Tamandua tetradactyla: one gene and its partner. The protein of the gene in region 2 binds, or shares a complex with, the protein of the main gene of each other region. Links are inferred from orthologs where the notes say so. Each region holds a gene or a part of one and is shown on either strand. Other genes may lie near its edges.

Region 1 (3,748 bases), on a different chromosome or scaffold from region 2:
AGGAAAAATAAGGAGGCCAATAAGGGTGGGGCAGAGTGGGCAAGGAGAAGAGTGGTAGAAGATAGGAAGTAGGCAGTTAGACTGTGTAAGGCAGGGTAAGAAGTTTGGGTTTTATTTTAAGTGTAACAGAAAGCTATTGAATTATAAGGAGGAACAAGGATTGGATTTGCCTTTTTAAAGGCCCCCGTGGCTGATGTGTTGAGAAGAGTCTCCAAGGGGGTAGAGGAAGAAACAAGGAAATGAGTGAGGAGACTACAGCAATCAGGGGGACTCAGGCAAGGATAGTGGCAGTACAGGCAAGGATAGTGGCAGTACAAGTGGTGAGTTGTTGACTTGGGGATATATGTGCTTGGATGCTGAGTACACAGGTTTTGCTGATACATCAGATGCAAGATGGGGTGTGAAGGAAAAAGAAGAGCCAAGAATGGCTGAAGGTTATTGGACTAAAAGACTATAAGGAAGAGGGAATACTGAGATGAGGTAGACTGATGAGATTAGTTCTGGGAAAGAAGCAGGAGCTCTGATTTTGACCTCTTGAGTTTAGATGTAAAGTAGATATTTGGATATATGGATCTGGAGTTGACGGGAGAAACAAGGCTAGTTATAAAAATCACAGAGGGTGGGTGATGGTGGCACAGTGGCAGAGTTCTTGCCTGCCATTCCAGAGACCCAGGTTTGATTCCCGATGCCTGCCCATGCAAAAAGGAAAAAAGGAAAATCAGAGACCTGGGCAAACTGATGGCATTTAAAGTCATGACAATTGATGAGAGCTGCTTCTGAAAGGGCATGGGCAGAGAAAGAAAACAGGATTGTTATAAAAGGATTATTTTTTTACAACTTTAAAGCTGCCCTCTCTCTGACAAACTCCTATCACCTCCCTTTATGCAGATTTCAGACCTGAAATCTGCCTGTAGGAGATAAGATATGTCTGTCTGTGCAGGCACATTTAGGATTTGTTGATGACTGTTTTGACAGCATGGCATGTCCAGGAAGGAGTCCCAGTTGGAGAGGGGGCAGGGGCCATGTTTGCAATTCCCCCTAAGACCCCAGATCCGGGAGCAAGAATTGATGAGCACACAACAGAATGAATAAGTGCATGTGACTGGCAGCTCTAAGAGGTTTGCAGGATAGTATCACTTGTGAATAGGGCAGCCAACCCTCACACCACCCGGAGAAGGCCAGGACTCACCACGGGGGCATTGCGGAAGCCCTTGATGGCTTGGAAGACTCCGCCGCCTATGACACCCATGGTGAAGGCTCCGCCGCAATCATCCACAATCCGCCACGGGCTGCAAGCGGGAGGGGGGGGGAGGGGAAGGGATTAAGGTGAACCCTACACTGTGCGCTGTCACATGGACGAACTCTTTCCAAATCGGAGGAACCAAGGCACCCGGATGGGAACTTCATGAGCGGGAAGAAGTACTTCATATAATAGTGAGCTAGTTCTGTCACTTTTTCTCTCATTAAAGCGAGATATAAGGCAGAGGTGGGGGGGGGGTAGCAGTCTTTGCCCTGCTGACCCGTGCCCTTCGCAGCCAACTGGGGAATGGCTGTCAAAGATTAGATGAGCTGACACTAGCAAAGAGACAGCACTTTTACCTAACCACCACATAAGTTATTAAAGCAGAATGGGGTTGCAACCCCTTCTCCAACAATGGCTACAGCCAATCAAGTCCGGCCCTCCCTTTTAACCGAGCACCGGTGGGAAAAACCGAGAGCAGACGCTGGGGAGGATCCAGCATTCCCCTCTTTGCCCACAATATGATCACCCAGGCCCCACCCTCCATTAACAAAGCGACCTGGGAAAAACCACGCGTGGTAATCCTAGGGATCGCCGCTCAACATCGTAACCCCCCACCCCTTGCCGGAATGGATTCGACCAGCGTGTCTCTTTGTCGTTAACAAGGAAGGGCTGGGAGATACAAAGTCAGAGGTGAGGTGGAGTGGTTCGCCCAGTGCCGCACCTCCAGGAGCGCCGTTAGTGGGCCTCGTCTTAACCGAGCCTGGGTGGGAGGCACCCAGGTGGTGATGGTGGGTGGTGGGGCGAGCGAAAGGAAGTAAGTTTTGCAAGACGCTCCCGAATCTGGGACGCGGCGCCTTGCGGCTGGTGTCTTCCCCGCCCGCCCCCCACGGCCGGCCAGGGCGCCGCCACAACGATCCCGCGGCCTGTGCCCACCGCCGTACCAGGGCTCACGAGCGTACTCCTCCATGGCGCCGGCGTCCGGCCGGGCCACGCCCCCAGTGGCAACGCACACAGGAGTCCGAGCTCTTCACCTATTCTCGGACAAGGGTCGGGTCACTTCCCTCGACGTCAGGCCCAGGGAGCGCTCATTGGCTGCCAGGTTTGTGTCGTGGGTTCATCCCGCCTCCGAGCGTCGCCCAGTTACCTCGAGGTTCAGGGAGAAAGGCTTTCATTCTGTGCTTTGAGGGGAGAGCAGTGTGGTGTCGGTGATCCTGGCGACGAGGAGAGAGAGGCAGCCTGTCTGACAGCCTTCCACTAGCCCCGAGGCTGTATCGGCAACGCTGGGGTGGACGCATTCTTTTGGAGCCGGAGGAGGTGCTGCATTCTGCTCCCCCGTTCCAGCACTTTGGTTCCTCCCACCTGGCAAGCTTTGAGGGATATTGGGTGAGCCCATTTCTCCAGCGCGGGGAAACTGCGCCGGTTGCTTCGGTGGTGGGCAAAGCCTGCGAGAGGAATGCGGGGGTGGGGTGGAGGACCCGATGGCAATCCCGGCCACGAGAGGAGTGCTGGTGTCCGCTTGGCTGACCGTGGCCACCTATCTCCTCCATCTTTTGGCGCGTAGGTTCCGCCCGCCCAGTTTCTGGTGCCAGTCGGGAGGTAGGGATCAAGATGAGTCCATGCTGGAGGGAGGCGCTTGGTTACAGGATCCGGAATCATCGAGCTGGTTTTCAGTCTGTTGGTCGTCCCTAGGTCTGTGCTACTTGCCATGCCGCTACCCGTGGCGCTGCAGACCCGCCTGGCCAAGAGAGGCATTCTCAAACATCTGGAGCCGGGTAAGAGAGCTAAGCGCAAATGGGCTTTCTTTGTGCCGGGTTTGACAAGCACTTTGTTGTTGAGGCTTGACACTTAACACCAAGCTTGGGACTTCTGTGCGCTAAGCAGCTAGGAGCCAGGAGCTGGGGCATCTCATTAACATGGATTCCTGACATCCATTCCTATGTTTGCCGAGCACTGGGGCAGATAGATGTTGCAATCCTTAACAGTTCTGACAGCTGATAGCTCTCTAGTGCCTGCTATATGCCAGGTTCCATAGGGTGGTAAGTACTGTCTAATAACAAGGACGGCTGACATCTAGTGCAGGCTTCTGTATGCCAGGCACAGCAGGGCGTTGACCTTGATACTTTGTTGTTTACCAGACTGATAGATAGTATTTCAGGCCTGCTGTAGGGGAAGGCACTCTGCTGGTGATGTATATACTTTATTCACCTCATTGAGAACTGACATGTATTTTGGGCCTACTAAGTGCCTGCTGGCAAACACATTAGGGTTGAGAGTATAAAATAATGACAGTGAGGAGCTATTATTTAGGCCTTCTGTGCTGCTGCTAATATTTACACTTTATTGTTTATGCTAAAGGTTGGCATTTACTTTGGGCTACAGTATGTCAGGCACTGAAAAAATACATCTTATTGTTCACCTTTATTGATTTCAGCTGCCTGTTACAAGCTTGCAGCGTGCCAGGCAGACTTGATAGTTACTAATACAGATAATGGTCATGGATCTTAC
Region 2 (3,748 bases):
TGTCTCCTCCTGGGGCTCTCAGCCCCAACTTGGTCTTGCACTGGTGGTGCAGATTCTCACACCAAGAAAATATGGGCCATAATATAGGTTTAATCATCAAACTAACAGGAAACACAGCCTATGTCAATTATAGAACTAACTACTTTCTACTTTGCTGAAATAATGCTTGGTAACTACACAAATTGCAAAATAAGACCAAGAGAAGACAAATTTCATGGGGGAAAAAAACGTGTGTTTAAGGCAGTTTCTTCAGATCTTAGAGCTGACAGTTGCTGTCTTGAGTTACCACGGCAGGGAAGAGAATTCTTTGGTCATCACCATGGGGATGGGTAGTGACCAAAGAAAATACAAACCTTCAGAGATGCAGAAATGAATTTCACTAACTTTAAAGAGAGAAAACTATATCTAGGAAAATCATCTTTCTTTCATTAAAAATTTAACTTCTGACTACCTCCATATCTCAAGTGATTGCTCACAAATGTCTACATTACCCATGACTGTTGTCTTTTTAATCAATTCCAAGTCCTGTTCTATTTTCAATATAGATCTTAAACTGTTATTTATCACTATCTCCATTGCTACTACCCTAGTCCAACATCAAGTCTCACCTTGACTATAGCCACAGACTCCTACCTAACTGGAATTCTTGCTTCCTCCTGCCCCTTTGGTTACTTTCTATATACCAATCAGTGATTTTTAAAGGAAATTCAATCACATCACTCCCTTACTTAAAGCTTTCTAATGGTTTTTCTCTATAGTTGATCAAATCCCAAATTCCTCAGGATGGTTTACAAAACTTACCTTAGCTGTGATTCCCAGCCTCTCTGACCTATTAACTCCTACCATTTCAACCCCCTTGCAACTCTGCAGACACACTGGCTTAACAGTCAGTTGTTTCTCAAACATGACTGTTTTGTCTAATGGCACGCATACTAGCCAACTTCTCTGTCTGGTCACAGCTCAAATGTCATCTCCACTGAGTGGCTTCCCTTGACCACCTGCTCCAAATTACCCCTGTCCCATGACCATCTCATGATCCTGTTTTATTTCCTTTACAGCACTTGTCATTATCCAAAATGCTTTTATGTGTTAACTGGCTCACCTCAGGAGGATGCAGGAGCCACAAATGGAGAAATTTTTTTTTAAACTGCTGTAGCCCCTCACCCTGAAAAGCAGCTGGCACACTGTAGGAGGTACTTAATTAACACTGTTCACCTTACAGTGCCTCAATTTAATCTTCAAATCTTTAACCTAATCAAATCAATTTAACAATATTTCATCACATTAAGGAAGTTCCCTTTGTGTTCTGAAATTCAGAGTGCCTAAGTCATTACATATAGTATAATTTGTGTTCTGGACCCAGTTCTGATACTGGTGACACTATGTATATAAAAGGGCACTTTTTGTCCTTGAGTGTGAAAGTCCTACAGAAACATGTCCAGGGATTCTCCAAAGAGAAAATACTTTGGCAAAGGGCTTATCCACCACCAACTTTCTATTATTTTTATGTCCAACTTCTAATTTATACAGTTGAATATCTACGACTAACAAGTTTCAAACACCTGAAATGCATATTCCTAGGATTGAGGGCAGGGCAGGGATAGGGTTTCCACGTCTCTGCACTCTGCATCTTGCATATTTCTCCACCTAGAATCCCCACTTGGCTTCTCTCTTCATGTCTGTAAGTCACCTTTAAAGTTCAGCTCACTTCCCAGTTCCTTCATATGGTTTCCTGGCTTGGCTCAACTCATATATGTTTACCTCTTAAATGGACACAATTATTCAACGTTTTGCCTTCACGGCTAGGTAGGGAAATGGATATTGATGTCGAATACGTGGCTGTTAATAAGCTATCTAAAGACTCGCTATATGGAATATATTTACTCACAGAGCTGGGCTCCCTCTTAATATAAGGGCCAAACACACAGGCAACGTATCCGAAGAAAGAAAAAGCACCACTTTGGATACAAAATGGAGAATACAAGCAGCATCAGAGTTCAGGTCAACCTCAGAGAGCCTCTCCGGGATTCACGGGCCCCCAAATCCTTTCAATCCTCAAAAGACACTCTAACCCCTCCTGGAACTGAAACTTGTGAATGCCCGCAAAAAAAATAATAAAAAGAATAAGGAATACCACAAGGTCGTGTAGTCGCAAAATGAATCAGAATCAGAAATAGTCGCAGGCTAGGCCCGATACTTACAAGGAACGCCGGCCAAATCCGCGTGCGAGTAACCCGCTCCGCCGGCTCCGAAAAAGCCGGCCAAGCCCCCCGTAGTTTTGTTTCCACTTCCCCCGCCGCCCTCCATGGTGTGCCTGCGCCTGCTTCCAGCCGATGCCTCAAGCCGGGGTCGTCCGCTCGGCCGTTGCACCTCACTAACCGCGGGGAGACCCGCGTTGCCACCGCCTCCTTCACACGCTGACCTTCCGGACGGCAGCGCTCGCTAAACTCGCCACACTTCCGCTTTGCGACAGCGTACGCCCCGGAAGCCGGAAGTACCTGACGGCAACCTTCCGGTGGTGGGAAAGTGAACGAAGCCAGAGTCAAAGCGGCGCATCCTGAGGCAGGTGGGGGTCCCTGTAGAAGAGGGAAGACAGGCCCCTGGATAGGGGCCGGCTTGGGAGGCCCGCGGAGCAGCAACTGCAGAAGCCGGCAGCGGCGGAGAGGGAATGTTGTGGGGAAGCGCCGATAAGGAGGCGCAGTCCGTCCCTCTCAGGGTTAGTGAATGAAACTCTCCGCCGGGGTCGGCCCGGGAACTGTGCGCCGTGGGTCCCAGCATGAATGCGGGCCCTGGCTGTGAGCCGTGCACCAAGCGACCCCGTTGGGGCGCCGCTGCAACTTCTCCGCCGGCCGCCTCGGACACCCGCGGCTTCCCCGGCAGGCAGAAGCGCGTCCTCGACCTCAAGGACGCTCCCGTGCAGTTCAGGGTCCCACCGTCCTCTCCAGGCTGCGTCCCGGGGCGGGCGGGACCGCACAGAGGCAGCACCACCTCTCTTGGTACGTGGGAGCATAAAAGTCTTTGTCTGTCTCCCGGACTCGAATCTCTTCCCGGTCTCTTAGGACCCGGGGACCCCCATCATTCCTTTCTGGCCTTGTGCGAACCATTCTGTGGTTCTCTTGCTGAACTTCCTGGCTTCTGCCTTCAAAAATCTATCAGGGAACATAAACAGTTATAAAGTCAATATAATAAGGGGTAATGGATGTTGTCATAAGTGAAGGACAGAGTTTAACAGTGGAAGTCAGAAGTACCACCTAGCTTAGACTGTGGGACCCAAAATGGGATGCTTATTTGAGGCCTGAAGAATGAGTAGGAGTTGACTGAGTGAAGAGAAGATAGAGAAGTATTCCAGGAGTGCGGCTGGTGTATAGAAGAGACTAATAACTGCAGAGAGGTAGGCAAGGGTCAGGTCATAACTGGTCATGCAATTTGTGCTGAGGCTTTTGAACTTTATTCCTAAGGGTAAGGAGAACCCTCTAGTGGGTAGGGGAGTGACTGATCAGGTGTGTGTGTGTGTGTGTGTGTGTGTGTGTGAAAACTCCCTGTGGCTGGTGTGTGGAAAACGTAAAACATTGGAAGGAGGCAGAGGTGGATGAGACCCAAGATTAGTTAAGAATTAGTCTAGGTAGTAGATAATAGTGCTTAGACTTGGATATCCAAATAGTGGATGGTTTTAGAAAAGAATGGGAAATGTGGATATGGGGCTCTGTGCCAGAAGTGTAGATTTGGGAGTTCTTGGCATAAATATGTA

The links. Proteins that work in one complex are often made in the same cells at the same time.
Region 1: mitochondrial import inner membrane translocase subunit Tim23 (region 2) and TIMM17B share a complex: the UniProt entries of both Homo sapiens proteins name them as parts of the TIM23 complex. The link is inferred for Tamandua tetradactyla from reciprocal best matches to the Homo sapiens genes TIMM23 and TIMM17B.

What each region holds. Positions count from the first base shown.
Region 1 is NC_135353.1:121,257,767-121,261,514, reverse strand, and holds the start of TIMM17B (mitochondrial import inner membrane translocase subunit Tim17-B), read right to left. Parts: upstream 2,320-3,748; 5' UTR 2,211-2,319; coding exon 2,185-2,210; intron 2,080-2,184; exon of another isoform or gene 1,965-2,079; intron 1,290-1,964; coding exon 1,190-1,289; intron 1-1,189. Other genes in the region: PQBP1 (polyglutamine-binding protein 1), read left to right, coding at 2,697-2,800, 2,933-3,015. UniProt on the Homo sapiens protein: Essential component of the TIM23 complex, a complex that mediates the translocation of transit peptide-containing proteins across the mitochondrial inner membrane.
Region 2 is NC_135339.1:5,644,821-5,648,568, forward strand, and holds the start of mitochondrial import inner membrane translocase subunit Tim23, read right to left. Parts: upstream 2,450-3,748; 5' UTR 2,308-2,449; coding exon 2,202-2,307; intron 2,111-2,201; exon of another isoform or gene 98-2,110; coding exon of another isoform or gene 1-97. Other genes in the region: PARG (poly(ADP-ribose) glycohydrolase), read left to right, coding at 2,777-2,996. UniProt on the Homo sapiens protein: Essential component of the TIM23 complex, a complex that mediates the translocation of transit peptide-containing proteins across the mitochondrial inner membrane.